3 linked regions of the Diceros bicornis minor genome follow. The protein of the gene in region 2 interacts with the protein of the main gene of each other region in a pairwise test. Links are inferred from orthologs where the notes say so. Each region holds a gene or a part of one and is shown on either strand. Other genes may lie near its edges. The genes, in order: RFC5, NAB2 and PHOSPHO2.

Region 1 (10,957 bases), on a different chromosome or scaffold from region 2:
AGTAGCCTATTACTCAGTGCTGCTTTTTTCCATCACCTTCCCTCATGCCTTTTTCATCTTTTTCTTTCTTTTTTTCCCCCACCGTCCTAATTATCTGTCCCAATCTCAATTCATTTTTGTTTAAATTCAAACTAGCTCATCCAGTCTTAGACTGTAATCAGTCCTCAGTTAACTAATAAAATGAAATTAATGCTTCCCCAAAGAACTTGCTAATATAGGTTTAGATAATATCTTATTTTAATACTTACATTTTAGTATTTCTTACTACCTTCCCTGCAATTTATTTCTTTTTCATGGCTGCTTTTGACAAAGTTATTTTTTTTTTTTACCTTTAACTGGCAAAGGGGAGGATTAAAAAAAGGTCTATCCAGCTCATGATCAAAATCTCTAGGGAGAGAAATTATGCAAATAATTCTTACTTAAATATTGTCCTTGTGCTAGCAAAGCTCAGGACTGGTCCCCGAACGATATCGATTCCTCGGTCATCTGAAGCATTCAGCTAAATGTGGGAGAGAGAAGCCAGAATAAATAAAAAACATGTTGGTGTGCTATCTACGTATTAATGTATCCTTTCATCAATCTAGCTCAGTAAGCTAGGTCTCTAGGTTTAATGACAGCTAACAGATAATCACTATTAAAAAAAAACAGGGGCCGGCCCCGTGGCGCAAGCGGTTAAGTGCGCGGGCTCTGCTGTGGCGGCCAGGGCCGCCAGTTCGGATCCCGGGCGTGCACCGACGCACCACTTGTCCAGCCATGCTGTGGCGGCGTCCCATATAAAGTAGAGGAAGATGGGCATGGATGTTAGCCCAGGGCCAGTCTTCCTCAGCAAAAAAGAGGAGGATTGGCAGATGTTAGCTCAGGGCCGATCTTCCTCACACACACACAAAAAAAAAGATCACAATTATATTTAAAACTCATAACTCACTAGACCATTACATAACATTCTAGAAGGCAAACAACTTTTTTTTTCTCCCCCTTTTGAGGACAATCACTGACATAAACTGAAGGAATAATTAATTGGCCTGGTCACACTGAACAGCACCTCTGGTATGAGAATGATGCTAACTTTAGCTACCACAACCCAGAGCAACCCGGAAGTTACCAAGTTTTTAAGACATGGAAGTAAGAATGTTGGTGGCAGCAAGATTCTAAGGTCTATATGAAAAAAATAAGTTAAACTTTTTTTTCTTGCGAGACAATCTTTAGAATTTTGTAATCTAAGTGTATCAGTCGAGGTCCCAGAAGTAAACAGATGGCCTAACCAAATTAAGTAATTTGGAGAGAATTAAAGGCAGAGATATTTCATTTTATTTATTTTTTTGTGTGAGGAAGATTAGCCTTGAGGTAACATCCGATGCCAATCCTCCTCTTTTTGCTGAGGAAGACTGGCCCTGGGCTAACATCTGCGCCCATCTTCCTCTACTTTACGTGAGACGCCGCCACAGCATGGCTTGACAAGCGGTGCGTTGGTGCGCGACTGGGATCCGAACCTGCGAACCCCCAGCTGCCGAAGCGGAGCAACTGAACTTAACCACTATGCCATCAGGCCGGCCCAGGAAGAGATATTTTAAAAGGTGTTGGTGGGGTGTGGGGAAACCACAAGGGCTATGTGATACCTCAGGGACTACTGGGGCCCATTACCACCCCCAGGTCTTATGGGGTCAGGGGCAGGACTGATATTGGCACCTGGGGAGGGCTGTGTGATGCGCCCTGCAGGTGGGGATGCCGCCAGCCTGTAGTGACCCCCAGGGCAGGACCCGGCATTAGTCTCCTTCCCCTGACCCCTGCCAAGGCCTCTACTGGCCAAACCCAACCAGGAGCCAGCGGGCAAGGGAGCTTGTAGTCAACACAGCTCAGCTGCCCGGGGCAAGGACAGGGCGGAGAGACGTGGAGAAGCTACCGGGAGGCGCACATGGGAAACAGCCAGCAACTGACAGACCACCAAGTGTTTGGGTAAAAGGTGGCAACAGCAAAAAAAAGAAAAATAAAAAACAAAGCCTAGCCCTACAACTGCCCTGTCGCTAATGCCAATCCAGACAATTATAGAAAAAAGTGAACTGAAATATCTTATGTTATGTCTGCTTCTTTCCCAACTGCCAGTAGGGCAAATGACTTTTAAAGTAAAAGGAAACTAGCAGAACTAAAAGTAAGAGGCTGGCGTCCTTGATAGACTAAGAATAATCTTGTTATTTACCTCTAAGACCATGGAGCCGAATTCTTTCTCTTTGTACAGCTGTTTAGCACAGGCTAGGATGGTGGACGTCTTTCCTGTCCCTGGAGGACCATAGAGAAGCAGGTGCGGCAGCCGATCTTCACTGATAAATTTGTGAACTGAGGATTGGGAAGAAAAAGAAACACCGTCAGTCTCTGCGAGTTGCCTCATTCACTGTGGGCCCTACGAGTTGGGCTGAATGCACTTCAGCCCTATGTTCAAACCAGAGGCAGGTGCAGGAATGAAAAATGGGAAGCACTCAATTCTTTTCTTTTGAGGAAGATTGGCCCTGCTCTAACATCTGTTGCCAACTTTCCTCTTTTTCTTTTTTCTCCCCAAAGCCCCAGTACATAGTTGTATATCACAGTTGTCGAGTTGTAGCTCTCTCTATGTGGGACGCTGCCTCAGCATGGCTTGATGAGCAGTGAGTAGGTCCGCGCCCAGGATCCGAACCAGCAATGCCAGCCGCCAAGGGGAATGTGACACACGAACTTAACCGCTGCGCCACAGGCCAGCCCCTTAAGGACTCAAGTTTTAAAGCCACATTCCATAAAGCTCAATCAGATTCTTCACAGTTATTACTCAGTAGAGACAACATCACCAGGAAATGTATACAGGTCCTTCGGCTAGAATAACAGCAGCTGTCACCTGGATACTTACTGGTACTCAAAATGTCCTGATGAGAAATAAGATCATTCAGTGTCTGCGGCCGGTATTTCTCAACCCTAAAATACAATTTAGCAAGGATTACAACATACATAAATTAAAGAACATTTTGGTATGTGCAAAAGAATCCTTTCATATCCTCACTAAAAGAGGAAGAGGAATAAAACCCTTTAGGTTTGAATTTAAACCAGTGGTTCTCAACCAGGGGTGATTTTATCCTCCAGGGAACATTTGGCAATATCTAGAGACATTTTCCATTGTCACAACTGGGTGGATGCTCCTGGCATCTAGTGGATAGGCCCCAGGGACGTTGCTAAACATCCTACAATGCACAGGACAGCCCCGATGCCCTCCCCCCGACAAAGTATCTGGCCCAAAATGTCAGTAATTTCTAATTTCACCTTTCCAGCTGTCTGCCTATAATCTCAACCTGGATGGGCAACTATTATTTCAAAGTGAATTCAAAATTGAACTTGTACCCAAATATACATCAACAGATGAATGAATAAATAAATGGTAGTATATCCATATGATGGACAGTGAAAACATTATGCTGAGTCAAAGAAGCCAGTTAGTTACAAAAGGCCATATATTATATGATTCAATTTATAGGAAACGTCCAGAATAGGCAAATCCATAGAGACAGAAAGCAGATTAGTGGTTGCCAGGAGGCGCTAAGGGAGGGAGGAATGGGGAGTGACTGTCAATGGGTATGGGGTTTCCATTTGGGATGATGAAAATTTTTGAAATTGAGATATTGGGATGGTTGCACAACTTTATGCAATTGAATTGTACACTTTAAAATGGTTACAACTGTAAATTGTATGTTATGTGTTTTAACCACGATAAAAACAAACTGAACTCGTTATTAGACAAGAACAACTTGGAGTTTTCCGACAGCAAGCCAAATCCCATCCAAGTCTTTAAAGCATCACTAGGATAGCTATGGAAGTAGGATGGTTAAGAGTGCAAGCTCTGAATCCAGACCTCCTGGGTTCAAACCCAAGCCTATTTTCTAGCTCTGGACCTCAGCCAAGGCATTTAATCTTTAAGACACAGTTTCCTCAAGTGTAAAACTGGAATAATGACAGTATCTACCTCCCATGGTCTTTGTAAAGATCAAACATCTAATAGGGTGCCTGCTAATCTAATAGAAAGCCGTTTAAATAAGTTAACTAGGGAGCGTTATTATTATTATCATCATTATTTTACTTAAGATTTTGGCAAGAGGGAATGACGTTTTGGCACAGAGGCCAATGCAATGTCAAAAGACGCGGGATCGACCCCTTGTGCAGATGCGTGCGAAAGCCGCTTTCCTCTTCGGGCAAAGGAATCGGTGGGTGGGGAACCCGGCAAAAGTCCTAAATAGAACGGAGCGGGGTGGGGTGTCGAGATGAACCTCTGTGGCTCCGCCCCGGCCGCAGGTCCGGGGGCAGCGGGCCCGGCCACTTGCCCAGCTGGGCCACCGCCTCCCCGCGCGGCCCAGCCCCTTTCCCGGCAGCCGGGCCTCCTACCAGGGCAGGTTCCTGATCTTGGCCGCCGCGGGCTGCTGCTGCTGCTGCTGCTTGTGTACGGAGGTCTCCATGGCGGGGAGACGAGGGTGACCAGGTCCGCTGGGGTCGTCGCGACCCCCAAGGGACCTGCTCAGCGACCAGCGCGATCCAGCGCAGGGACCCTAACAGAGTTCGCGCGCAAACGTAACTCTCGCGAGAGTTAGCCGCCTGCTTCCGACTTCCTCCCTTGGTCCCGCCCCCTTTCCGTTGCTAAGGCGCAGGTTGCCAGGTTACCGGGAGGCGCCGGCCGCCACCCTCCCTCCGGCTCCGCCCTTCTAGCCGGTGCTGCCCTCTCTGCCGCGCCAAGGGGCTTCCCGAGCCCAGGGAGAGGGGGCGAGGCGAGGCCACCCCCTGCAGCCGCCAGTCATCACAAATTAAAGTCTCACGGCCGAAGCCCAGTCCAGCCATCACCAAAGTTCAAACACCGTTCAAAGGAACAGAAAGCTGCCAGCGCTAAAGAATCCTTAGGAAAAAACAACCCCAAATGACACGGCCAATACTTGAAGATGGATGCCCGTTTGAAGAAAAGGCTCACAATACCTTTTGGCCCCCAACCTGGTAGTAATTCGAATTCAAAAACAACTCCAAACAAACGCAACTCCAATCCGTCTCCCAAATCCGCGTCCCTCACCCAACAAAATGTAGAGAACCATCCTCCAGAAACAACTCCAGAGTGAAAACAAAAAATAAACTTCCAGTTAGGTTAATACGGTAACCGGAAAGCGCTAGTTAATAAGCACAGAGGACGCGTCCCTCGGATCTGAAGATACTGAGGAGCATCGGTCTCAAAATCCTAGTGTTTTTCTGAGGTGAGGGGATTATAGACCACTTTATTTTCTCCTATTTGGCTGATCTGTGTTTCCCGGCAATGAGTGTGTGTTACATCCATAATAAAGTTTTTGTTTTTGTTTTTTAACATGTTGGGAAAGACAACAATACTGGGAGGAGATGAGGCTGCCTTGGGGTCAGAAGTGTTCTGATTCAGAAGTCGCAGCTCCTTGCGTCTTATTATTATCACTGTCACCTGCTTTAGGAACAGAGTAGAGGGACACTGGGGAAATACATGAGGGCAGTTATGGCTTCACCCTAGCCCCTGCCTGGGGACCGAGAAGAAGGAGGTGAGATGTGGCTTGTGGTATGACAGTGCCCTATTCTCTGCTTCCTCCCAGGCCAACTCCGACACTCGTTTTTCAGATCCTTAGCATGCCTCTTCCCCCCCCCCCCCCCAGCCTTGGGCGGGTTACTTCTCTCCTCATCCAATAACATCTGCTCCAAGATGGTTGTGAGGATGAAATGAAATAACATACGTAAAGCTTCCAATGCACTGCCACCTCACTCTCTCCTTCCCTTCGAACATACTCTCCACCATCCTGTTCTTGTTCCAAATGTTCCCTCCCAAACAAAATCTAAAGAATTGGCTGGTGTGACTATGCCTGTGAGGGTTAATTTTATGTGTCAACTTGACCGGGCTAAGGGATGCCCAGAGAGATGGTAAAATATTATTTTTGGAGGTGTGTCCCTAAGGGTCTTTCTGGAAGAGATTGGCATTTGAATTGGTAGACCGAGCAAAGGAGATCCCCCTCATCAATGCCGGTGGGCACCATCCAATCCATTGAGGTCCTGAATAGAACAAAAAGGCAGAGGAAGGGTGAATTTGCTCCCTTTTGGAGCTGAGACATCCATCTTCTCCTGCCTTTGAACATCGAACATCGGCACTCTTGATTTCCAGTCATCTGGATTCAGACTGAATTATACCACCAGCTTTCCTGGGTCTTCAGCTTGAAGATGGCAGATCATGGGACTGCTCAGCCTCCATAATTCCGTGAGCCAATTCCTATGATATATACACCTTATATAAATATCTATACAAATATGAATATATAAAATATATTAAAAATATTAAATATATATTTATTATATAAATATATTATTAATATAATATATATTTATTGTATAATACATAATATAAAATATATTTTAAAATCTACATAAATATAAGTATAAATATAAATTTTGTGTATCTATATATTCTATTGGTTCTGTTTCTCTGGAGAACCCTGACTAAAAATGCCATTACCTGGGCTTTATTCAACTACCCTGGTAAGAGCCATCCTGCTAAGGGGCCTTTGCATTAGAAACATGATGTTGCCACCTCCTTGAGCTAGAAGATATGAACAGACTGGACCAAGTTCTCATAAAACTCTGTGTGCACCTGCTGTTCAGTTTGCGGGCAATGCAGAATTCTTCTGTGGGACATTATATTATATATTTACAAGTTCGTCTATTGTGTGCCTCCCCCACGGACTGTAACCTCATTGAGAGGTGAGGCTTTCACTTATTCACCACTGGACTCCTGGTGTCTGGAATACTGCCTGGCTCAAAGGAAGCACTCAATAAGTCTTCCATGAATGAGTGAATGATAATAGCTACTATTCATTAGGCAGCTACTATGGGCCAGACACTGTTGTAAGTCCTTTACATTTATTATACTCACTCAATTGTTGCGATAGTTCCAAGCTATATCACTGGCCCCATTTCATAGATATATTAGGTAACTTGCCCACATTCTGACTTGGTGTAAGGGACAGAACTGGATCTTATCAAGACAGTGTGATTCTATAGCCCAAGCTCTTAGCCCAGTGCTAGTGTGGTCCCTGCACCAGCAGCAGCAGCCCCTGGGAACTTGTTAGAAATGTTAATTATTCTTCTCCCCACCCCAAACCCATTGAATCTGAAACTCTGGGGGTGGGCCCAGTCATCTGTGTTGTAACAAGCCCTCCAGGGGATTCTGATGCGCTCAAGTTTGAGAACCACTGTCCTACCCTCTACTGCTTCTCAATCCGTGAGCTCCCTATGACTTCACTTTCTAAGAAAAAGAAAGGATACTCACATGCATTTTTCTGGAAAAACAAAGGTGTCCTATTAAATGTCATTTGTATGCGTGTGGTTTTGTTTGTTTCTGTTTTTGCTATTAATTGAAGGTATAGTCCTTTGGGCAAGTTACTTAATATCTCTTTGGACCTCAGTATTGGCACTTCTAAAATGGGCAGGGGCACGGGGCTTGACTAGAGAGAGGGATGGCATTAAAAGCACCTGAGGATTTTAAACAAGTCCAATGCCAGAAGTCCAGCCAGACAAATTAAATTTGGCCTGTGGGGTGGGACCGGGCACTGGCATTTTAAAAAGCTTCCCAGGTGATTCTAACATTCAGCGAAAGTTTAACTACTGTCCTGGACGAAGCCAATCACAGCAACCCTAGTCCCCTGATTGGCTTAAAGGGTGAGCATGTGACCCAGTTCTGCCCAATGAGATGTGAGGGGTAATGGTGGGGGGGAGGCGCCTCTGGGACGCTTTTCTCGTTACTTTGCAGAGCCTTGCGCTAGATGGTCCTTAGCTTCTCTCCCAGTGCCAAAGTTCTGTTACTTTAAAGAGAAAGCGAGAGATAAAGCCTGGAGTTACAGGCTCATATGTCTATAAATAGTCTGAAAGTTAATATATAAAGGAAGAGGGTTCGGTGGAAATTATGCCCTGCCTCGAGGGGGCGGAGTTTGTAGATGGAAGATTTAAGCAGAAAAGGAATGTAGCGACGAAATATTGGATAGCTCATAATTAGTAGGAAGGCTGGAGAACCTGGTTTGGAAAATGGGACAAAGACAGGCCATGGAACTGAAACCATGGTCAGAATTACTCCATGGAACCATCCAGTAAGGAAACTGCTGCTGCCGACCTTTCCGTGCTACTACTCCTAGAAACCGAGTGTTGGTTTCACCGTTTCTACTGTGAGAAGGAATTTGCCAGTTCTCTCCTGTACTGGATTCTTCCTAAAACTAGTGCTCCATTAAGAGCATGCCTAATTGGCCAGGCCTGGGTCACCTGCTAGCGCGTACCAGTCTACAGCTTGAATGGTGGGAAATGACGTCTTCCTCCCACCAGGACTTGTGACCTGGGACATCCCTAAACTTAGGATGGGGGCTCAGATGCTGACAGCCGAAAGGATCACACATGTCCACTACAAGAGTGTTCAATCAGAAGGGACAGTAGCCAAATGTTGCCAGATCTTCTGATTTTTCAAGAGAAACCAGAAATTTGGATTTTTATGTGCAATTCCTGTATGTTAAACAATGGCAACTAATTTAAAAAACTCCTGGCCAAGTGATCACGGTAGGATCACTTTATGACTTGATTTCTCAAGGACAGATGATCAGGCAAAAGATGTAATAATTCCTTGTTATCCTCATCTTCTGCCTGGATTTTAGCCCTTCTGGAGGATTGAGGACAAATCAAGCTGGCATTTCCTTGTGACTTGTGACATTGATGAGCGCAGGCACAAACTTTTCTTATACAGTCCGAACCAGATTTGGAAATGCTTTAATAAAACATCAGGTCTTGAAGATGGCAGGATCAGAGGTTACAGACAAAATTACCAACAAAAGGCATTGGATCTTAAAATTGAATTAGGGAAGGGGAGCCCTGGATTTTATTACTCTCAGCTTTGGAACAAACTTGGCTTTGGACACAGCACTTACTGCCTTCGTTTATTTTTAAGACTTGTTCTTATGAGAGAATGGGATGTGAGGCTATCTTTGGAAGATGCTGGCAGAAGAAAATCAGACTGGGTCTTTCTCCTGAACGTGTTTATACTGGTGAAATCATGTTTAAATGAAGAGCAAGCATGTGAAGGAGGAGAAAAATCTCAAAGGGCAACTTGAAGAGTGTTTATAAGGGAAAGGGCCATCTTCTTTGGTGGCCATGGCAAAATCATTGACTGATAAGGAATTTAAATCTCCAGATCTTTTGGGGTACTTCTCCCCTTCAAACACTTTCTTTTGTCAGAATCCCAAAAATGCCCCGCATCGGGGCTTAGGGAAATCCATTCATCATCCCTTCACATTTGTTGATTAAATAACTAATGAATGGTTATTTATCAGTTCTTGAATCTGATTCTCTTTAAGTTTCAGATTCAAAGGCTAACTCATATGAATTTGCTCCATGACACTTGGGCTCAAAAAATTTCACGTTTCTTTTTTTTTTTTTTAATCTTTTTTATTTATTTATTTTCCCCCCAAAGCCCCAGTAGATAGTTGTACGTCATAGTTGCACATCCTTCTAGTTGCTGTATGTGGGACGTGGCCGCGGTGCATCGGTGCGCGCCCGGATCCGACCCGGGCCGCCAGCAGCGGAGCGCGCGCGCTTAACCGCTAAGCCACGGGGCTGGCCCTCACGTTTCTTAATTTTTCTAAATTAAATATATCTGGCTCAAGGTCCTCCACCATTCCTTCTTCAAGCCAAAGTAGTTTGGAAACTCAATCTATTGAGGGTTGGGAGTTGAGTTCCTTCCCTTCCGTAGGATCATTCAAGAAGCCTAAGGGGCCGGCCCGGTGGCGTAGCGGTTAGGTTCTTGCATTCCACTTTGGAGGCCCGGGGTTCGCCGGTTCGGATCCTGGGCGTGGACCCACTCACCACTCATCAAGCCCTGCTGAGGAGGCGTCCCACATAGAAGAGCTGCGATTCTACAACTATGATACACAACTATGTACTGGGTCTTTGGGAAGAAAAAAGAAAAAAAAAAAGAGGAAGACTAGTAATAGATGTTAGTGCAGGGCCAATCTTCCTCAAAAAAAGAAAAGAAAAAGAAAGAAGCCTAAGAGTTTGCGGGGAAATAGGCCAGCAAATGTGGGGAAGGGCTTTTAGTCTTCAGTTCCTTCTGTGGGAGTAGATGCTCTTTGTACAGACTGACATGATCCCTTTGAAGATGGGCAGCTCTGTTGATAATAGCGTCCTTTTCTCAGTGTACAACTCAGCCACCCAGAACTTCTGTCATGGCTCCCAGTGCCACAAAGTTTGAGGCTTAGACTTCTGTGTGGCCCTCGTTCCACGTTCTTCCACCTACTCCTCCTCACCCCCGACTACTTAAAGTGAGGTCCAGGGACCAATAGCATGGTCCCTGCTACTTGGGAACTTGTTAGAAATGCAGAGTCTCTGGACCCACTCCAGACCTCCTGAATCAGAACAGCATTTTAACAAGGTCTCCAGGCAATTCGACTGCACATTTCAGTTGATAAGCCCTCAATACCACAGAATGTCTCTCTATCCCAGCATCTTGCTCCTCACCCCTGTTCTGCATCTCTAGTGTGGAATTCTTCAGGGAGTTGGGCCACTCGTCTCTCACACAACATTCCCACCTCCTCCTCTCTAAGGGCCTAGCATTTTGATAATTCAACTCCAGGTCTCAAAGTTCCTAGGCATCCAGGCTCCCCAGAGCCAGGCAAACCCAGCACCCCAGGACCCTGAGGCTTAATTGCTTGGGAAACCCAACCCTTAGTCTTTTGTGATGAGTCTACAGTAGAAAATAAGTCCAGTTACTTTATCAATCACATTATTCTGTCACAGTAGTAACAGGCCCTTCAGGCTGGTAAAATTTAAAAAAATATTTCTCCTTCTGGAATCTTTCCTGATTCTCTCTACTTTGAGTCCAGCATAGTTGTCCTGGGCTAGAATCTCTGGGGTCATCATGATTGAAAAAGAG
Region 2 (10,077 bases):
CCAAATGGCTTCCTCATATACTCCAATATATCCCATTGCTTTTCATTTATTTATCAGTATATACACATACACACACACATTTTCTACCAGGCCCCAAATTCTCACCATTCAGAGCTCGCTCTTTGGTTGTGAATAAAGGCCAGAGAACAGGAGAACTAATTCCAGGTTTGGAAACTAATTCCAGAAGATCACTGGCTGTTAAAATATGTAAACGAGGTATAGATAATAAGACTGGCTGTCCCATTAAACTTTACCATCCAAATGAGTTCTGTCACTTCGAGATAGTCACTCAAGAAGCTTTTAGCCTTGTTTTAATAACGAGGACACTGCTCAAAACACTTTGAGAATCATCTTCAGAGTCTATAGCACACACTGCAATGAATATTCATTATCTGCAGGTGGCTCTGATTTATGCAAATAGCCAAAGAACTCAGGCCAAGACTGATGAGTAAATAGGGTGGGAAATCTGGATATAAATGTTTCAGAATTTTTTTGGATTTTAGAAACATATACGGTGCATATACATATACAATACATAAGGCAACAGTCCCAGTGGGGTCTGGGACAGCAACCGTAATCAAACAAATTAATATTTCTGCAATGAGATATATGAATATTCACATTGGGATAAACAAAAGTGGGATAAATGAAACTATAAATAATGAAAGTTTAGGAGGTCTGCCACAAAATAAGTTCAGGTCAGATTAGGTTTTGTTGTCAAATGAGTTATGAAAAACTTTTGGTTTTCATTCGTTTTAATTTAGGAAAAGGATTACAGATGGTGAATATTTAATGAAGACACTCCATGTACTCAGTCACTCAAGCTAGAAGTCCAGGAGTCACCCTAAGCTCTTCTCTTCCCCCAACCCCTCAGCCAATCATCACGTCCTATTGATTTTACTTTCTGACTACCTTTTGAATCTATCCTCTCCTCTCCATCCCATGCCAGACATTTAGTCTAGCACCTTGCCATATCTCACTTGGGCCACTTTAGTTTCCTTCAAGCTGGCCTCCCTGCTGTTTTTTGCAGCCATAAACCCCTTCCTCCACACTATAGTAAATGCAGACCTGGCCATGTCACTCCCAGGTTATAAAGCCTTTATGGTTCCCCAAAAATCTCCTGTGATGAAGTCCAAGGTCTTTAGTATGATCTAAAACATAGATGTAAAGAAACAACTACAACAGCGCTATTCAAAGTTTATTACCAATCTGCAATGAAACAATTTCAGAAATTTAAGTGTAAACATTTAGAAACTTTTACAGCAATTTGACAAAAATATTTATTGAATCTAATAAAAATAGGGATTTTATTTCATTGTTCGATAATTCACTTTTAGTGTATTTTATAGAAGTATAGACTATAGACTGGAAATTTTTTTTAATTGGTCCTTTCTTATAGTTTGAGAAGCACTAGTCTATAATATCCTTAATTCAATGGCCTTGTCCACTTCCCTGGGCTCGTTTTTAACTACTGCCACCCCCCATCCAGCAATAATGAACAATTTCTAGTTTCTCAAAGATATCGTTCTGTTTCATACCTCCATGTAAGTTTATATTCTGCTGACTTGACTGTCCCTTCCTCCTGGAAATCTCCTATCCATACTCCAAAATCCTAGGCTGCAACATTACAGTCCCTCACAACCCCGTACAGAAGACATCACTTGTCCCCTATACTTCGGTCAGTGTTTGTACCCTTATTATTGTCCTACGTTGTAATTATTTGTTTATATGTCTATCTCCCCTACTAGTCTATGAGTTCCTTAAAGGCAGAAGTTAGGATTATCAGTCTTTGAGGGGTGAAGCATCACCCCTTGTAAAATGACTAAATTGAATGACAATGTTCCTTAGATTATAATTCTTACATGTTACTAAAAGAGGAAAAAAGGATCATTACTTTATATTCATATATTTCTGTTTCTAGCAAGGATTTCAGCCGTCTACCTTTAGTACCTGAGTATGAATTAATTTATCAGAAGAGTGGACATTTTAGAAGGGCAAGGAGCCAGACCTGTGAGACTGGAAACTTGAAGAAGGAAGGAGGCATGGAAAAATACCTCCACTTACACAGTTTTGCCCAGGTTCAGCCCCTTTTGAGTAAAATCTGTCAATTGCCCTTTTCAAAGTTGCTCAGGCCTGGAAATAGCATCATCAACTCATTAATTTCAGAGGGCCCACGAGACACCAGACCTACCCTGGAGAGGTCCTGGGCTGAGGGCGAAACAAGCAACTATGCGTTATTGAAATGTGTACAAAGAACCGTGAGGCAACTGAAGGATGGGAGCAATTAATTCTGCCTAGAGGGGTGCAGGCAGCACAGCGTGCAGGCAGGAGAGGGTCCAGGAAGGTGATATTGGAGCCAGAGCTTGCTGAGTGAGCTGGATTAGGCCTGGTGAAAACCTGGGGGGGGTGCGGGGGGGGGGGGTGAGCAGTGCAATCTGCTAGATGAAAAGCTACCCGTGCCTAGGAATCACAATCCTTCTGGTTAGCAGTTTCCTCACTCCTCTTCCACCCACTTTCTTCACAATCTTTTCCCCTGTTCTTGGAAAACTGGGACTCAGGATACTGTTTCCCTTCCTGGAAGAGACCAGTGTAGGCAATAAACCTTTGATGAAACGGATCCGTTGCTCTGCTCTGCGTGCCCCTGACCTCACTGAGGTGGGCGGACAGCAGGTGAGTCTCCTAAGAAAGTGGTCCTAACCTATACTGGAGGGAATGGGAACCATGAAGAAAAGGAGAGGAAATTAAGATTTTTGTATTCGTCCCACCCCTACTGTCATCCCCCCACCCCGCCCCCAACCTGTCTCTTATCTTTGTGTTTTTCTACAGTTTCTCATGGTCTCCGTGTCTTCGTCTCAGTCTCTCTCCATTTGCTAAAAGCTGGAAATTCCTTGTTCTCAACGGAAGGGAGTAGGAGGGGACTTGGGGGTGGTAGGAGTGGGAGGGAAGCGAAGAACAGACATCTCAGCAGCTGCGGGGGCGCTCTCGGCCTCTGGCGGGGCTTGACAAGTCAATGATTTTTTAAATGTATGTATTTTTAAATCCACACATAGGAGCTCACATACAAACCTAAAGCAAGACGGAGACACAGATACACAAGTAGATTTAAAGACATATAAATACATAATCTCAGGGTACAGAGGCACAAACTGGCAATAGCGTCTTCAATTTGCTTAGAATTTTCCAATTTACAGAGTTTTCGTATACATCCTCTCATCTGAACCTCAACCCTGAGAAACAGGGATACAAACACTAGGGAGTTTCACTCACACACACAGGTTCGCACTCAGAAAAATCCCTTCTGACTCCCCTAGGGGAGTGGGCAGAAACAGTCCGCGGGATTTTTCTCCCCTCTTCCCTCTCTGGCCGAATACCCGCCCTAGAACCGAGGAGTGGAAGCCCCAGAATCGGCCCCTCCCTCGTCATCTTTCCTGGGCCGGGACCCAGGCGCTCGGCGCCTAGTTGGTTACCGCCCCCCTGCTTCACGCCCTACTCCGCCCTCTTCCCGGGCCTGCGTCTCTCTCCGGACCCAGGGGCTCAGCGCTGCCCCACGGGGGTCTGGGTGGGAGGGAGGGGGGCGCCTGGAGCACAGGCTGCGTGGGCGAAGGATGTGCGTCACGGGGAGCGTGGGCAGGAGGAGGGAGGAGGCACGTGGAAACCCGGGCCAGCGGCTGGCAACCCAGGCTCCAAAATAACCAGAGGGGAGTGGGGGAGGGGGTGCCCACACATATCGGAGGGGATCTGGGAGTGAGCCCGTCTAGCCGTGCCCTCCAGTTGGACAACAGGGGATTGAAAGGGGGCACTCGGCGCGTTCCTATCACCCTCCACTGTGCTTGAGGCTTAATGGGATGGAGAAGAGAATCTTAGCTACCTAAATCCCCCTATGTGGTGCACCCGTCCCCGCCCCCCCCCCCCCCGTGACGGAAAGGTCCCCTCGCCCGGCTGGAATGTAGAACCAGCCCCGCCCACGCCACCCACGCCCTGCCGGGCCCGGGCCACTCAGACGTGCGGAATGGCGGGGCGGGGCTGGGGTGTCGGACTTGGGGGAACCTTGCTTCTGGCCAGTCCGCTCGCTTCCAGTCGGCCCTCTCCCCCACCTCCTTTCCCCGGGGCCTAAAGCCACTGGGACGGGCCCTCAGAGCCCCCGCCTGTCCCCACCCTCTAGCCCTCCCAGCCGTGGGCGGGAGTGTAATGGGAACCAGATGGGGCTAGGAGAAACAAAGGGGGGAGGGGTAGTGGGTGGCGGCGACGGGGGGCGCGGTGGCCAGGCTCCTTGAAGGAGCGCCTCCCTCCAACTCCTCCGTATGGAGCCACGTCGGACGCTCCCGGCCTCCTGCCCATCGTCCACTAGACTCTCTCGGGCAAAGTCCCCTAATAAGACGTCCCCAAAAGGGGAGCCTCCTTATCCCAGCTTTCCCACACAGAATTCCCCAGGAGCAGGTCCCCACTCTCAGCAAATAGGGTGCGACGAGTAGAGGAAGGCGGATACCCCTCCCATCCCTGCCTGGCCTAATCGCTAACAAACCCCGACGCGCCTCATCAGCGTGCGTCTAAGTGGTAGCTTTTAGCATAACCCGCCCAATCCTGTTCCCCGAACTTCGGCGTGGACTCGAGGCAGAGATGGAGGCGGCCTGGATTTCCGAGAACTGGCCTTTCCAAACTATTCTTTTTGGGGCTGGGATATCTGAGGGATTCCCGCAGAGCCCCACGCTCACAGACCAGCCATAAGTGCCCACTCTATGGGAGTCAGATGCACGCACGGGAGGAGCCGCGCACCCGTCTCCGCCAACTTTTCCCGGCTCACTCCTAACATTCCCACGTACAGCCCGCGAGGCCTGAGTATGGGCAGCGGGCGTCCGCGTAGTTGTTGATGCGCGTGTGCACGTCCGTGCGCTTCTCTGTGTCTTTGTGTACCTGTGCGTGGTTGTGAAACTCCACTTGGAGGGGTAGGGGTGGTGGGGGGAGTAGGAATGTCGCCGGCTGGGCGCTCACGTGGTTACGTGGGCGCGGAGAGGGCCGGCTGTGCATCCGGCGTGGGCGGCACGGAGCGACCTCGCCCCGCCCGCTGGGTCCCCAAGCCCGCCTTCCACAGCCTGGCCTCGTTCACCCCAGTCCCCAACTCGGCGCCCCGGCTCCGCGTCCCCGCCCCCGCCTCCTGCTCCACACCCCCTCCCCCCAGTCTCCGCCTCTCGCCGTCTCAGCCGCGGCGTCTCCCCGGCCGGCCGAGAGGCCCGGGCGCCCGCCCCCCGCCCCCGGCCCCCGCCCCCGGCTCTGCCCACGCCCTCCGCCCGCCCGGCAGCCAGCGCAGCGCCGGGCCTCGCTCCCCGTGCGTCCTGCGGGGGCGGAGGCGCGGAGAGGCGGCAAGCGCAGCCGGGGAGGGGGGGGCAGAGGCACAGACAGAGGCGCGGAGGCTCGCAGAGAGGAGACGTGGAGGCAGGGACGGAGCCCGGACAGCGGTGGACACGGCATCGCGCGCCGGGAGGAGCGCAGCGCGCACCAGGCGCCGGGCACCGAGAGGGGCGGCCCCGGTGGTCTCCAGCCTTCCATGCACAGAGCGCCCTCCCCCGCAGCCGAGCCAGGCGGAGGGGACAGCGCCCGCCGGACCCCGCAGCCCAGACTCAAGTTAGTGGGCAAAGGGAGACGGCGGAGAGTGGAGATGGGTGGAGCTGGACTCGGGAAAGGGGTCTGGAGGGCGGAGGTCGAGGAGAGGACCAGGGGAAGCGGGACGGGGGTGGGAGGTGGAGACTGATGGAAAAGGGGGTGCGTCTTCGAATTCGGGGCCCTGGGAGCAGGCAGGGATCTGATGAAGCTGGATATGAAAGAATAGTACCTCATTCTCCATCCCCCGTTTACTCTGTGGGTATGACCTAGCATGTGAGCTGAGCCCCCTGCAAAGAACGTGGGGGCTCCCCAGCGCCAGGGGAAGCCCTGGAGCTCTAGCTGGCAGCAGTGCCGGGGAGGGCCACTCAGCTGGCTCAGTCTGTCGTTGGCACGGAGCGCGCGGGCCGGGGTCCGGGAGAAGCCGGCGCCTCTGAGCCAAGAGAGCATCAGCGGGGCCGTGGAGAAGCAGGGGATGCCTTAGGTGTTCCTTCCCATTTCTGTGCGTTTATTTGCAGCCTGGGGAGGGGAGTTTCGGTCTGCAGCCCCTCCCGCAGTAAGTTTTGAGCCATTCCCCCACTCCACTTGAAAATGCAGATGGAAAATGAAGAGAGGAGGGTGGGCGGGAGCCCCCGGGCGGTTTTCGCCCACAGACGCCAACACCGTGGGAGTGAGTGTGGGCAGAACGGGCCCCAGAGCAGAACAATTGAGGCACTCCTCCCCTCCCCCGGGCGGAGCTCCACTGAGCAGGTGGGGAAGGTCACTGCTGGGAGAAGGGCCAACTGAGGGGCACTGGGCAGTCTGGAAGGGAGGGGCGAGGTCCCCAGGGAGAGAGCAAGAGTGCGCTAAGAATGCCTAATTCGTGAGAAAAGCTGAGGGGAGGGGAGCAGGGGTGCACCCTCACTGAGTGGGAAAGGGCAGAGAAAGGGCCACACACCCCCCTTTCAACCACAGGGTCAGGATGCCACCAGAGAGTGAAGCTGGCCAGCAGTGGTCCCAGGTGTCCACTGTGGAGAGGACAGGGGTCCTGCATTCACCTTAGTGTGGGACGTCACCTTGAGTAAGGTTGAGACTGCTGGGTGTTGAGCGTGGAAGATGAGAACTATGTTCTGCAGGAGAGTGCGGTCCAGCCTTCACAGGGGTGTGCTGGCTGGCCTCAGGGCTCAAGGTCTCCTTGCCCCAGGCCAGAAAAGTAAAAGCTGAGGATGGGGATCAAGAGCCTTTGATTTCTGCAGAGACTGGGCCGGTTTTTGGTCCTTCTGGCCAGTCGGATGGCACTGGCACGTCTGTGCCTCTGGGCAGTGCCTGATTCTCAGACTGCTCAGGCCTGGGCGCTGGGCAGAGACAGCATTCAAGAGAGAGGGCAGAGAAGCAGGCAGGAAAGAGGATAATTGTGAGTGTGGGTTGGTACGGAGCAGGGGGCCTTGCACTGACTGCCCCCCCCTTCTTGTGCACCTCCTTCTCAGGCCCAGTGCCCGAGCCATGGCACTGCCTCGGACGCTGGGGGAGCTGCAGCTGTACCGGGTTCTGCAGCGCGCCAATCTGCTTTCCTACTACGAGACCTTCATCCAGCAGGGAGGGGACGACGTGCAGCAACTGTGCGAGGCGGGTGAGGAGGAGTTCCTGGAGATCATGGCACTCGTGGGCATGGCCACCAAGCCCCTCCACGTTCGACGCTTGCAGAAGGCACTGAGAGAGTGGGCCACCAATCCAGGGCTCTTCAGCCAACCAGTGCCTGCTGTGCCTGTTTCCAGCATCCCACTCTTCAAGATCTCTGAGACTGCGGGCACCCGGAAAGGGAGCATGAGCAATGGGCACGGCAGCCCAGGAGAAAAGGCGGGCAGTGCCCGCAGTTTTAGTCCCAAGAGCCCCCTTGAACTTGGAGAGAAGCTGTCACCACTGCCTGGGGGACCTGGGGCAGGGGACCCCCGGATCTGGCCAGGCCGGAGCACCCCTGAGTCCGACGTTGGGGCGGGAGGCGAAGAGGAGGCTAGCTCACCCCCCTTCTCCCCACCTGCAGGGGGAGGAGTCCCTGAGGGGACTGGGGCTGGGGGGCTGGCAGCAGCTGGGGCTGGGGCTGGTCCAGATCGACTGGAGCCAGAGATGGTACGCATGGTGGTGGAGAGTGTGGAGAGGATCTTCCGGAGTTTCCCGAGGGGGGATGCTGGGGAGGTCACGTCCCTGCTGAAGCTGAACAAGAAGCTGGCGCGGAGCGTAGGGCACATCTTTGAGATGGACGACAATGACAGCCAGAAGGAGGAGGAAATCCGCAAGTACAGCATCATCTATGGCCGCTTCGACTCCAAGCGGCGCGAGGGCAAGCAGCTCAGCCTGCATGAGGTAAGGACCCCAGCCTGCCAGGATTGCCCTTAGCTCCCAGGCCTCAGTCTGCTCACTCTGAGAATCTTCACACTCCCCAAGTCCATTTCATTGTTCCTTGACCAGGACCCCAGGCTCTGATCCCCTCCCCCACACACCCCTTCCCCAGCCACTATAGTGCTGTCCTCTTCAGCTGAGGGGGAAGCAGAGACACAGACAGCAGCCCAGCTGTCCAGCTCCGTGCTGCTCAAGACCCCACAGGAGTCGAGGAGGCCCCTGGCATTCCTAGGAAGCTGTGGGTGCTGATCTCTTGTCTTTCTGCCTCACAAAGCTCCTGTGTAGTGTGAAAACCCAAGCTAGGATCTGATGGATGGGCCTCATTTGTCTGATGGTGAAGGGGTGTGAGGAGGTCTGAGCCAGGCAGTGGGGGAGTTGGGAATCTGACTGCTCTGATGGCTCTCTCCACAGCTAACCATCAATGAGGCTGCTGCCCAGTTCTGCATGAGGGACAACACGCTTTTACTGCGGAGGGTGGAGCTCTTCTCCCTGTCGCGCCAAGTGGCCCGAGAGAGCACCTACCTGTCCTCCTTGAAGGGCTCCAGGTGAGACCCCCTTTTCCAGGTCTTTCCTAGATGAGAATCCTGCCAAGGAGCAGGTCACGTTCTGACCTCTAGTCCAGGTGCCTGCTTCCCACCCACCTGCATGTCCTCCCTTTGGCCAAGTCCACTTGTCTGAGGTCTGGCCCCTCTTCCTCTCCATCTCAGGTCCCCTCTGACCCGCCCCTGCCACAGCAGTAGTACCTGAGCTGGAGACTCCTGCGCAGCCAGTTTCTTTCCAGAGCCTTGAAATGATGCATGCCCTTCCCCAGATTCTGTGCCCTGCCTATCATGTGTCCCTCTCCAGCCTCATCCTCCTTATTCCTCTCCATCTTTGCAGACTCCACCCAGAAGAATTGGGAGGCCCCCCACTGAAGAAGCTGAAACAGGAGGTAGGTTTTCCAGGGCGCGTGTAGTGGGTTAGGGCGGCTTCCCCAACGCCGTCCCTTGCCAGGTCCTCATTTCCCCATTCGGGGCATCCGCAGGTTGGAGAGCAAAGTCACTCTGAAATCCAGCAGCCTCCCCCAGGCCCCGAGTCCTATGCACCCCCATACCGCCCCAGCCTGGAGGAAGACAGTGCCAGCCTTTCTGGGGAGAGTCTAGATGGACACTTGCAGGGTGAGTGTGCAAAAGAACACTTCTGTCCTCACTGGGGGGCGGAGGGGGTGGGAGGAGGGAGCCAGGAGGCAACTGCCTGGAACAGGGATGGGAGGCCTGGCTGGATGGGAGCAAAAGGGCCTGGGCCTATGGGTCTGCCTATGCGGTTGAGGGTGGGGGTTCCCTTGACGGTAGTCCCTTACCTGACCCGTGCCCATGCCCACAGCTGTGGGGTCATGCCCAAGGCTGACGCCGCCCCCTGCTGACCTGCCTCTGGCATTGCCAGCCCATGGGCTGTGGAGCCGCCACATCCTGCAGCAGACACTGATGGATGAGGGGCTGCGGCTAGCCCGCCTCGTCTCCCACGACCGCGTGGGCCGCCTCAGCCCCTGTGTGCCTGCGAAGCCGCCTCTCGCAGGTGAGGCAGCCAGCAGTGCTGTCCCCAAGCACCCCTGCCACCCAGGCCCCACACAGCAATCCTGGTGTCCTGGGGCCGGGTGGGAGGAAGAAGGACATAGTCACCAGAGAGGGCAGTAGGATAGTCGGGTTCCAGCCTTAGGTTGAGGAGAGGAGGACCCTGCAGGGCTGTTCCCACTGGGGAGAGTCTGACCCTAATGGAAACCTGTGAAGGGAGCAGAGGGACAGAAAATGGGAGACAAAGGGGAACAGGAAGGAGGTTCACCAGGAAGGGAAGCTTGCATGGAACTTCTACCATTGTAGGAGGTGCAGCAGGCTAGGATTTGGGGTGCAGTTGTCCAGCTTGGAAGTGGAGGAGCCCGAAGGGGGATGCTTTGTGTGTGGATGGGAACAGGGGGAGTAGGCTGGCAGAGGGCCGGGCAGCGGCTGGGCTGAGAGTGACGCAGCAGACAAAGCCACCAACCCTGGCTTGGTATTTTTAAACTGTGTGGGTGGGGAGTGGGGGTGGGGACTGGAAGGGGGGTTCTTCTTGGGGGAGGAGCCAGGAGGCTGG
Region 3 (10,946 bases), on a different chromosome or scaffold from region 2:
TTTTTTTTTGGCCATCCTAGCGGGTATGAAGTGGTAAACTGTGGTTTTGCTTTGCATTTCCCTGATGGCTAGTGATACTGACCATCTTTTCATGTGCTTAGTGGCCATTTGCATACGTTCTTTAGAGAAATGTCAGTTCAAATAATTTGTCGATTTTTAAAACGGGTTGTCTTTTTATTATTAAGTTCTAAGAGTTTTTTATAATCTGGATACTAGACCCTTATCAGATATACGATTTGCAAATATTTTCTCCCATTCTGTGGGTCATCTTTGTACTTTCTTGATAATATCCTTTGATACACAATGGTTTTTAATTTTGATGAAGGCCAAATCTATTTTTTTGGGGGGGCTGATTGTGTTTTTTGATGTCATATTTAAGAATTTGTTGCCAAACCCAAGGTCACAAAGATTTACATCTAAGTATTCTTCTAAGAGTTTTATAGTTTTAGCTTTTATATTTAGGTCTACGATCCACTTTGAGTTAATATTTGGATATGGTGTGAGGCAGGGGATCCAACTTCATTCTTTTGCATATGGATATCCAGTTATCCCAACACCATTTGTTGAAAAGACTATTCTTTCCTCATTGCGTTGTCTTGGCACCCTTGTCAAAATCAATTTACTATAGATGTATAGGCTTATTTCATTATTTCTATTCTATTAGTCTATATGTTTATCCTACGCCTGTACCAAACTGTCTTGAGGGCTGTAGCTTTGTAGTAAGTTTGATATTGGCAAGTGTGAGTCCTTCTATTTAGTTCTTCAGATCAAGATTGTTTTGGCTATTCTGGGTCCCTTGCATTTCTATGAGTTTTAGAATCATTTGCCAATTTCCACAAAGAAGCCAGGCAGATTTTAATAGAGATGGCATTGAATCTGTAGATCAGTTTGGGGATTACCACCATCTTAACAACATTAAGTCTCCCAATTAATTAACATGGGATGTCTTTCTATTTATTTAAATCTTTAACTTATTTCAATAATGTTTTGCTATTTTTCAGAGTGTAAGTTTTGCTCATTCCTTTTTCTTAGAAAGAAAAATTTATTCCTAAGTATTTTTGATGCTATTGTATATGGAATTGTTTTCTTAATTTCGTTATCAGATTGTTCATTGCAAGTGTATAGAAACAGAATTGAATTTTGTATGTTGATCATGTATCCTTCAATGTTACTGAACTTTTTTATTAGTTCTAATAGTTGTTTAGTGGATTTTTTTTAGGATTATCCACATAAAATATCATGTCATCTGTGAATATGCATAGTTCTACTTCTTTCTATCCAATCTGGATGCCTTTTGTTTTGCTTGCTTAATTGTCCTGTCTAGAATGTCCAGTACAATGTTAAATAAAAGTGGTGAATATGAGGGGCCAGCCTGGTGGCGCAAGCGGTTAAGTGCGCGCGCTCCGCTGTGGCGGCCTGGGGTTCGCCGGTTCGGATCCCAGGAGCGCAACGACGCACCACTTGTCAAGCCATGCTGTGGCGGCGTCCCATATAAAGTGGAGGAAGATGGGCATGGATGTTAGCCCAGGGCCAGTCTTCCTCAGCAAAAAAAGAGGAGGATTGGCAGATGTTAGCACGAGGCTGATCTTCCTCACACACACACAAAAAAAGTGGTGAAGGTGGGCATCCTTTTCTTGTTCCTGATCTTCAGGGGAAAGTTTTCAGACTTTCACGATTAAGTATGGTGTTGGCTGTGGGTTTTTTATAGATGTCCTTTATTAGGTTAAGAAAATTCCCTTCTATCCATAATTTGTTGTTTTTATCATAAATGGATGTGTATTTTCCAAATGTTTTTTCTGTGTCTATTAAGATGATCATGTGGTTTTGTCCTTTATTCTATTGATATAGAGCATTCAACTATTTTTCAGATGTTAAACCAACCTTGCATTCCTAGGATAAATCCCACTTGGTCATGGTGTATAATTCTTTTTACATTTTGCTAGATTTGGTTTGCTGGTATTTCGTTGAGAATTTCTGCATCTATATTCATAAGGGTATTGGTCTGTAGTTTTCTTTTCTTGTGATATCTTTAATGTTGGTATTAGAGTAATATTGGTCTCAATGAATGAGTTGGGAAGTGTTCCCTTCTCTTCTAATTTTTTTTTTTTTTGAAGAGTTTGTGAATGATTGCTGTTAATACCCCATTAAACTTTTAGCAGAATTCACCAGTGAAGCCGTCTGATTCTGGGTTTTTCTTTGTGGGAAGTTTTTCAATTACTAATTCAATCTCTTGTTAGAGGTCCATTCAAACTTTGTATTTCTTCTGGAGTCAGTTTGAGTAGTTTGTGTCACTTCAGGAATTTTCCCATCTCATCTAGGTTAACTAATTTTTTGGCATACAATTGTTCATAATGTTCCCTCATAATCCTTTTTATTTCTGTAAAGTCAGTAGTGATGTCCCCTCTTTCATTGCTACTTTTAATAATTTGAGTCTTCTCTTTTTCTTAGTCCACCTAATAGTTTGTCAATTTTGTTGATCTTTCCAAATAACCAGTTTCAAGTTGACTGATTTTCTCCACTGCCTTTCTATCCTCTAATTCATGTTTCCTCTCTAATCTTTGTTATTTCCTTCCTTTGCTTGCTTTAGGTTTTCTTTGTTCCTTTTTTAGTTTCTTAACATGTAATGTTAGGTTATTGATTTGAGATCTTTCCCTTTTTTAAAAAAAATACATTGTGATCGTTAATTTTATGTGTCAAGTTGGCTAGACTCTGGTCACCAGTTGTTTGGTCAAACAGTAGTCTAGAAATTGCAGTAAAGGTATTTTTTAGATGCCATTAGTATTTACAATCAATTGGCTTTAAGTAAAGCATAGGCATACCTTGGAGATAATGTGGGTTCAGTTCCAGACTACCGCAATAAAGCAAATATCACAATAAAGTGAGTCACACCAATTTTTTGATTCCCCAGTACATATAAAAGTTATGTTTACACTCTACTGTAGTCTATTAAGTGTGCAATAGCATTATGTTTACAAAAAATGTACATACCTTAATTTAAAAATACTTTATTGCTAAAAAATGCTAACCATCATCTAAGCCTTTAGTGGCTCATCATCTTTTTGCTGGTAGAGTGTCTTGTAAAAAACGCAATATCTGCAAAGTGCAATAAAACGAGGTATGCCTATAGATTACTCTTCATAATGTGGGTGGGCCTCATCCAGTCAGTTGAAGGCCTTAAAAACAAAGGCTGAGGTTTTCCAAAGAAGGAATTTTGCCTCCAGATTGCAACACAGAAATTCTGCCTGAGTTTTCAGCCTTCAGACTCAAGACTGCAACATCAACTCCCCTGAATTTCTAGCCTGCAGCTTGCTCTATGGATTTCTGACTTGCCAGACTCCATAATCAAATAAACAAATTCCCTAAAATCAATCTCAGTCTCTCTCTCTCCCTCCCCCCATATATACATATATATAAATAAAAATACATAAATATACACATAAATATACATAAATAAACCATCCTATTGATTCTATGCCTCTGGAGAACCCCAACTAATACATACATGTATTTACAGTTTCCCTGTAAGCACTGCTTTAGTTGCACCTAAAATGTTGGTATATTGCGTATGCATATCATTCATCTCAAAGTATTTTCTAATTTCCCTTGTGATTTCTTCTTTTTTAAAAAAATTTCATTTATTTATTTTAATTAAGGTACATTTGACATATAACATTATATTAGTTTTAGGCATACAACATAATGATTTATGTAAACATTGTGAAACAATCACCAGGATAAGTCTAGTTAACGTCTGTTACCTTTTATAATTACAAAAAATTTTTTTCTTGTGATGAGGACTTTTAAGATCTACTTGCAGCAACTTTCAAATATGCAATACAGTATAATTAACTACAGTCACCATGCTGTACAGTACACCCCCAGGACTTACTTATTTTATAACTGGAAGTTTGTACCTTTTGACTCCCTTCAGCTCATTTCTCCCACCCTCACCCCCTACCTCTGGCAACCACCAACCTGTTCTCTGTATCTATAAGTTTGGTTTTTTTTCTTTTTAGATTCCACATATAAGTGAGATCATATGTTATTTGTCTTTCTCTGACTTATTTCACTTAGCATATTGTCCTCAGGCAGCTGTGATGTTAAAAAATTGCCACTGATTGTTTCAATAAACATACCTGGTGATTTCTGAGTGAGGTCAAATAACGATAAGCCTTGCAAGTAGGTTTTCCAGGGAACTGCCAGATAGGTCAAATAATAACAGTTATCTGGGAAACGGGCTTTGGAGGGGGTCCAACCCTGTTCTGTCCCCTCCACAGGTTGCTAAGCCACTGGATTTCACTGTGATTGTAGTGGTTTTCTAGATTACCATGGGGCTGGGAGACAAGTATGGGACTGGGGCAAGTTAAAATGCCAAAAATTCACTGCTGTTACCAAGATTCGGCTACTTTATTTGATAAACATTCCCAACTGTTGCAAGCTTTTGTTTAATTTCCTGAGTTCTCAAAAAGTTGATTTTGACAATTTTTGCCAGTCTCTTTCTGATTTAATGGAGGAGAGGACTTCTGGAGACCTGTATTCCACCATTTGGGCTGATGTCACTTCACTAAATCTTTAGATAATTATATGTTTTACAGACAGCTGTCTATATATCTGGACTCCTCTCCTACTTCACCTTCTTGCAAATGGAAATTATAACTCAGCAGTGAGGCTCAGATGGAAACTTGTGGACCAACTGCCACAAAACATTATTTAACACCTATCAGGTAAATCTAAGCCTTTTATGGGGCCTGCCCTTCACCTAATGGTTAGGTTCAGTGTGCTCTGCTTCCTCAGCCCAGGTTCAGTTCCTGGTGCAGACCTATATCACTCGTCAGTGGCCATGCTGTGGCGGTGACCCACATACAAAATAGAGGAAGACTGGCACAGATGTTAGCTCAGGGCGAATCTTCCTCAAGCAAAAAGAGGAAGAGTGGCAACAGATGTTAGCTCAGGGCCAATCTTCCTCACAAAACAAAGAAACAAATAAAAAATAAATACAATAAAATAAAATTTAAAAATCTAAGTCTTTTAGTGCAGACTGCACAGACAGGTAAGTACTGCATAGACAGGAAAGTGAATATGTGGCAGTAATTCTGTTTTTTCAATACATGCCACATGGGTACTGTCTCTCTCCCACATGTCATGACCCTCTGCTACTACTTCCTAAGTCCTCCACCGCATGAACACCCACTAGTGTCCATTGGTGGGATAATGTCTGGCTTTCACTCTGCATCTGGCACAAGGGGCACTACTGATAAAGAAGCTCAGTCAGAGACACAAAGATAGTCCAAATTCCCAAGGTTCTAGTCGTCACCATGACATTAATTGGGAATTTACAGACTTAAGAAATTAAAATCACTGCAATTGATAAAGAGCTCTTTAGATGCCCCACTAGGCTACTTCTATTCCAAAATCAAAGTTTTGTATCAGGTCATCTGAATTACAATACCTTAAGTAGCATTATTTTTTACACTCTATCAAAGCATTAGCCTTAGGGTGAGACCTTACCTTCACTTTAGAAATGAGGAAATTGAGACATTTCCTTCAGAGACTTTCCTAAGAGCACTCAGCAGGTTCACAGCAGAGCCAAGACTCTAATGAGGTCACTGATATTTCCAAAAGTTATTCCCATTCATCTAATGAATAACAAAGCTTAAGAGCGAGAAAATTCAGCCAACACCAGACTCTCGGAGCTGGTTAATTGAGAGTCTCTGACTTATCTTTTCTCCACCCCTGTTTCTGTAAACTTTTCCCATCTACCTATTCACCTGAGGGCAAAGCTGTCTGATTTACGTAGAGCCCAACATGCACGGAGCTGCTTTCGACTTGGTGGAGCCCATTTCCGAAGGTAACCAAAGCCCTCGCTTGGCACCTCGCCTCTCACCCCACGCCCTGTGCCGGGACGGGCCCGTTTAGCTCGCCTGTGCTTTCCTTCGCCTGTCCACAGCGCCTTCCGAACCGCACCAACATCTCTGACGAGGTGCCCACGGCGCTCTCAGAAAAGCGACTCCGACGTGGAGCACAGCGGGCTCAAAGGCGCAGAGTGTTTGCCACACCCCGCAGTTACTTGGCAACGCCGCCGGAAGTGACGGCAGCCGTCGCCGAGGAACGAAGAACGCGCTGCTCTCGGCCGTAGGGTTGGAGAACGGAGGCTGCGCCTGCGCAGGACCCCGAGGCCCGGCGTGCGAGTAGGGTTGCCCTCGCGGGCAGGCGCCGGGGCGAAACCGGAAGACAGAGTAGGCAGGAGTGGCGCGGAGGCCAGCCGGCCTGGGTCCCTGAGGAGCCCTGGGCACCCGAACCGGCCTGCTGCTGCCGTCCTCATCCAACGCTGGCCTCACGGGGGACGACCCCCAACGAGGTCCCTGCACCTACCTTCGGGGCGGACCCGGCAGGTGTGTGGGAGAGCGAGGCCCAGGCTTGGTGTGTGCGGCCCACAGACCTCCTCGCGCGTGGAAGGTGAAGGGCAAAGCCCTCGTTAACTATAGAAACCCATAGATTAACTGACAGAAAACCTGTTTGAAAATACTTGGGTTTCTAAGGCATGGCCTGAGCTAGATGGGGCTTAGTTTTTTAAAAACAGGAATGTTAAAAACTTGGTTGTCCCAGAACATTCATGTTAGGACTTTTAAGATACTTTAAATTGCTTGGTAAATACATTATAGTAAATTGTATTTGGGAGACCAGTCAGACCTCTAAGGACAGAAAAATCTGTTAAGAGTGGATGCAGGCTTGGTTTCAAAGAATCCTTTTCTAACACATTGAGGTACAAATGATTTCATTACAAGCTAGTTGGCTAGGACATGGCACCAAATTGGAGTTGCTCAAAATGAAAGGAAGTTTAGATTTTTAATCACTAAAGTGATTTTTAATCATTAATACATAGTTGTACTGTTTTTCTTCAGGTTTTCTGTCAGATGTTCCACCGTAATAATGCTGGTAAGTATGAAAGGATTAATAAAATATTTGTTGACAGAAATTAGTTTTTGCACGTACAACATTGGTGGCACTGTGGAAGCATAGTTTTAAAAATATCCAGAACTGGGATGAGTCAGCGATTTTACCCCAGTTGCAAGCTAACAGTTTAGTCTGCCACAGTTTTGTAGACGACACAGACCCCTAGGTCAGAGATGAATTACAGCAGTAGCAGTAGCCAGAATATCAGCAATTTTGCCCCAGTTCCCACAGGATGATGCAAAGAGTGCCAGAAGTGACCTGCACGTGGAGTGTGTTGCATTACAGGACAGGAACCTGAGCTTAAGGGACTCAAATCTTTATTATAATGGACGATAAGCATGCCTTTCAGGCTGTTCACTATACATACATTTTTGAGACAATAATCCAGAGCAAATGGCAGTGACTGCCTTGCTTGTAAGACATACAGAACCACTAGAAACCCATGGGGAATTACCTCCTAACAAAAATTCTTTGGAATTTTAACTAAATTGGTTATGAAAAATATTAACTCTTATAAGATTTGATGTCAGTAATTTGCCAGTTTGACATGGTGGTCAGATATCATTTGATTTCCAACACCTGGTTCTAACTCTAACCTATGTTTCTTTACAGCCACACCATCTAGAGTTAGTTATTTATCCTTCCACAACCTCTACTCCTTTTTTTTTTTCTGTGTTGTGCAATTAAGAAGGTGGCATATGCACTTTGATCTGAAACAGAGTTTAAATTATTCTGGGGAAGGGCCTGGCCCCGTGGTGTAGTGGTTAAGTTCGGCAAGCTCTGCTTCGGCTCTTGGGTTCAGGTTCGGATCTCGGGCGCTGACCTACACCACTCATCAGCCATGCTGTGGCAGCAACCCACATATAAAGTGGAGGAAGACTGGCACAGATGTTAACTCAGGGCTAATCTTCCTCAAGCAAAAAAAATATATATATAGAAGATTGGCAACAGATATTAGCTCAGGGCTAATCTTCTAAAGCAAAAAAAAAAAAAAATTATTCTGGGGAAAATATTTTTATTACAAAATCAGTGTAGAAAAAAAATGCACTACAATTGAACCACCCATGATCCTACCACTGTAGAAATTTATTTTTTAAAAGCAGAAATGGGATTATACTGTACACACTGTTTTGTGACTTGCTTGTTTAATTTGAACTGGACATCTTAGCTTTTACTGGCTAAATAAATATTCCATTATATAGCTCTCACATACATGTCTTATTTAACCAATCCCCAAATCTTGGATGTCTATCAAGTTTCTAGTTTACATTATTGTAAAAAGCACATATGCTATTGTTAGACTATGGAAACATTGCAGACATACCAAATATATACTGCTTGTGCTTTTGGAGAGAATAGTTAATAACTATTTTGAAATTTTAACAAACTGGTTTCAAAATAGATTCATATTCTTAAAATTAAATCTTTATGCACATCCTTAATTTTTGGAGACATTTTTATTTCAAGTATAGCACTAAATATTTGAAAGTTTATTGACAACAGAAGGTGGTATTTGTCTATTATTTAACAAGTAAAAAGAAAAATGGAATCTGGAAATCTCGACATAATCAGCCTAACACTTGTGATTTTATCCACTGGACAAAAACTTACATTCACGTAACATTCCCTGTTTTGTATTTAAGCTTTTTGTTTAATCAAAATTTTGTGTGTCCCATTGCCAGTAAGTGCTTTTCTGATGTAAGAGAAAATATAATTTTCTACATAATTACAAAACATAAATCTTAAAATATCTTAAATACTTCTATTAATTTTAGGAGTTAAGAAGTCTCTATTCCTTTGCTCCAAACCAGAAGACTTTGTTCCCTGATACAGAGTAGGAGCAATGTTGGTTAGAAACTGGCTGGTGTTTAAAACTGAAGACTGTCATGACTATTTAACCTAGGCTCTATGCTGAAGTAAGATTAATTGTCTTGGAAATACTAAGTTGGGTAAGTATTCTTAATAAAAGCTTATGTTGAGGGGTGAGAAAAAACTAATAGAAAAAGATCTGAAATTAAGAAATGTACACTTTTAGATAGAAATTAATAGTCAACAGTGGAACTATGTTAACTTCTGGCTTACAACATTTCTCATTATTTTGAGATTCATAGTTCAGGAATTTCAGTAAATTGTGGTTAATTAAATCTAGGCTTGAGGTAGTTTCAGTCACCAGAGTTACATTTGAAATTTTTTTTTAAAATTATGTATAAATTCAGAATGCTAAAAAAAGCATGTTTAATTTAAAATGTGCCTAGGTACAGTACTAATATGATTGTCAACTATGCCTTATTGCTGTTTATTATATTGTTTCTATGGGAAAGTGAATTCTGCACTTAAATCTTTGGGAGCCAGCCAGAAACACCTGGATTAGACATTTAGAGGTACAAGGATCCAGAGCATCAAAATATTATAGACTGTCTAAATTCACACAACATGAGATTCACACAACATGAGATACTCTCTCGGTTAGTTGTTCTCCAGAGATTCTCAACTGAGAGACTCAGAATACTTGCCTTTATATGAGTCATGAGCTCTATTCTCAATTTCATCTACTGGATATCTGTTGTTACAAACCAGAGAATACATGTGGTTAAATGCCATGTTTTCCATTTTTAATTGATTTCTTTTCTTATTGGTAGGGTTCTTCACTTTTTTTTTAGGATTTCTTGCTAAATGCTCACAATAGGTATAAAGTAGATCACAGATGTGGTATTATGGTTAGTGTGTACTTTAAGACTAATAAATGTTTTCATGTAATGAAACATCTTTTCGTCAAAATGACCTTAGTATTTTATTTTTAAACTGATTAATAGTCTTTAAATATTCTATTTCTTAGGCTCTAGAGCGTGATACTTAAAAGCATGAACTTTGGAGTCAAGCAGACCTGAGTCCAAATTCCAGCTCTGCCACTTAACTAATACTTAACCACTTTAATCCTTAAGCTCCAGTTTACGTATCTTTAAGATGAGAATAATAATTCCTACTTAATAGAGTTATGACAGTTAGATGATGAGATTGTAAAGTTCTTAGTCCAGTGCCTGTGTATAGTGATAGCTCTAAAAATATTAATTACTCTTTTTAAAAAAATTTTTTTGTTTACACACACAAATTGTAGCTTTTTCTGGGTATTCTGTATAATTATCTTTTTTACGTGATAACTTTCGTCCATACCATCTGTTGACTAGTTTATTCTTGCCTTTTCTCTTGAGATTTATAATTAACGACCTTCATTATCTTTTAATGAAAGCAGAGATTTAAGTAATTGTCATATCATAAGTAATGTGATTACTCACATATGTCCAGATTATTGGGCACTCCAGAGCTAAACTATCTAGCGAAAATATAAATAAATGTGAAAATTGTTTAAAAAAAACTTACTTCTAGTCTGGAAAAATTGAATTGACCTCCAGTTCAAGTAATTTTTTTAGAATTTCAAGTACAACATTAAGCAACCATTTAGTTATGACATTGGCATTGATGATTTCAAGCTTAAACATCTTTTTAGAAAAATCATTTAAATTTGCAAGATTTCATGTTATGTTAAATTTGGTCAGAATTTTCATTAGTACACACCAGAGAATCTTTATTACACATGACTTGTTATTTAATATGAGGATTATTGTAAATATTTTAAATGAATAAGTTTGTGTGTGATAATTTACAGATGATAAGAATGATTAGCCTACATTTGTTTTCTGCCTTATAACTTTTCTAAATTAGATTGTAAGAGAATAATTGTTCCATTACTTCTCTCATTGGATTGCTCTATGGTTTAATTCTGAGTGCTCAAAGAATCATCCCCACAGGAACACAATAATACTGTGAGTATCCTTTTTAGATATTCTGTTTTCCATTCACTTAAAATACTCAAATATGAACTTTGCTTCTTAGGAAAAAGTGCTTAAATGGTGGTCTTAAAATGCTTAATCATTTTAGCTTGTTTATATTCACCCTTTGTTTTAGCAGATTAACACTCAGTAATGTTTGTTAAA

The links.
Region 1: the proteins of NAB2 (region 2) and RFC5 interact in binary tests that used the Homo sapiens proteins (3 or more experiments, as listed by UniProt). The link is inferred for Diceros bicornis minor from reciprocal best matches to the Homo sapiens genes NAB2 and RFC5.
Region 3: the proteins of NAB2 (region 2) and PHOSPHO2 interact in binary tests that used the Homo sapiens proteins (3 or more experiments, as listed by UniProt). The two-hybrid records come from large-scale screens. The link is inferred for Diceros bicornis minor from reciprocal best matches to the Homo sapiens genes NAB2 and PHOSPHO2.

Annotation. Positions count from the first base shown.
Region 1 is NC_080774.1:15,030,110-15,041,066, reverse strand, and holds the start of RFC5 (replication factor C subunit 5), read right to left. Parts: upstream 4,554-10,957; 5' UTR 4,464-4,553; coding exon 4,393-4,463; intron 2,938-4,392; coding exon 2,873-2,937; intron 2,332-2,872; coding exon 2,195-2,331; intron 500-2,194; coding exon 420-499; intron 1-419. UniProt on the Homo sapiens protein: Subunit of the replication factor C (RFC) complex which acts during elongation of primed DNA templates by DNA polymerases delta and epsilon, and is necessary for ATP-dependent loading of proliferating cell nuclear antigen (PCNA) onto primed DNA.
Region 2 is NC_080756.1:11,802,487-11,812,563, reverse strand, and holds the start of NAB2 (NGFI-A-binding protein 2), read left to right. Parts: upstream 1-5,330; 5' UTR 5,331-5,542; coding exon 5,543-5,619; intron 5,620-7,061; coding exon 7,062-7,935; intron 7,936-8,382; coding exon 8,383-8,516; intron 8,517-8,850; coding exon 8,851-8,902; intron 8,903-8,995; coding exon 8,996-9,128; intron 9,129-9,333; coding exon 9,334-9,525; intron 9,526-10,077. UniProt on the Homo sapiens protein: Acts as a transcriptional repressor for zinc finger transcription factors EGR1 and EGR2. Isoform 2 lacks repression ability.
Region 3 is NC_080749.1:51,308,851-51,319,796, forward strand, and holds the start of PHOSPHO2 (pyridoxal phosphate phosphatase PHOSPHO2), read left to right. Parts: upstream 1-6,322; 5' UTR 6,323-6,392; exon of another isoform or gene 6,393-6,456; intron 6,457-6,902; 5' UTR 6,903-6,936; intron 6,937-8,729; 5' UTR 8,730-8,903; intron 8,904-10,674; exon of another isoform or gene 10,675-10,737; 5' UTR 10,738-10,775; intron 10,776-10,946. Other genes in the region: CFAP210 (cilia- and flagella- associated protein 210), read right to left, coding at 5,922-6,029, 6,091-6,322. UniProt on the Homo sapiens protein: Phosphatase that has high activity toward pyridoxal 5'-phosphate (PLP).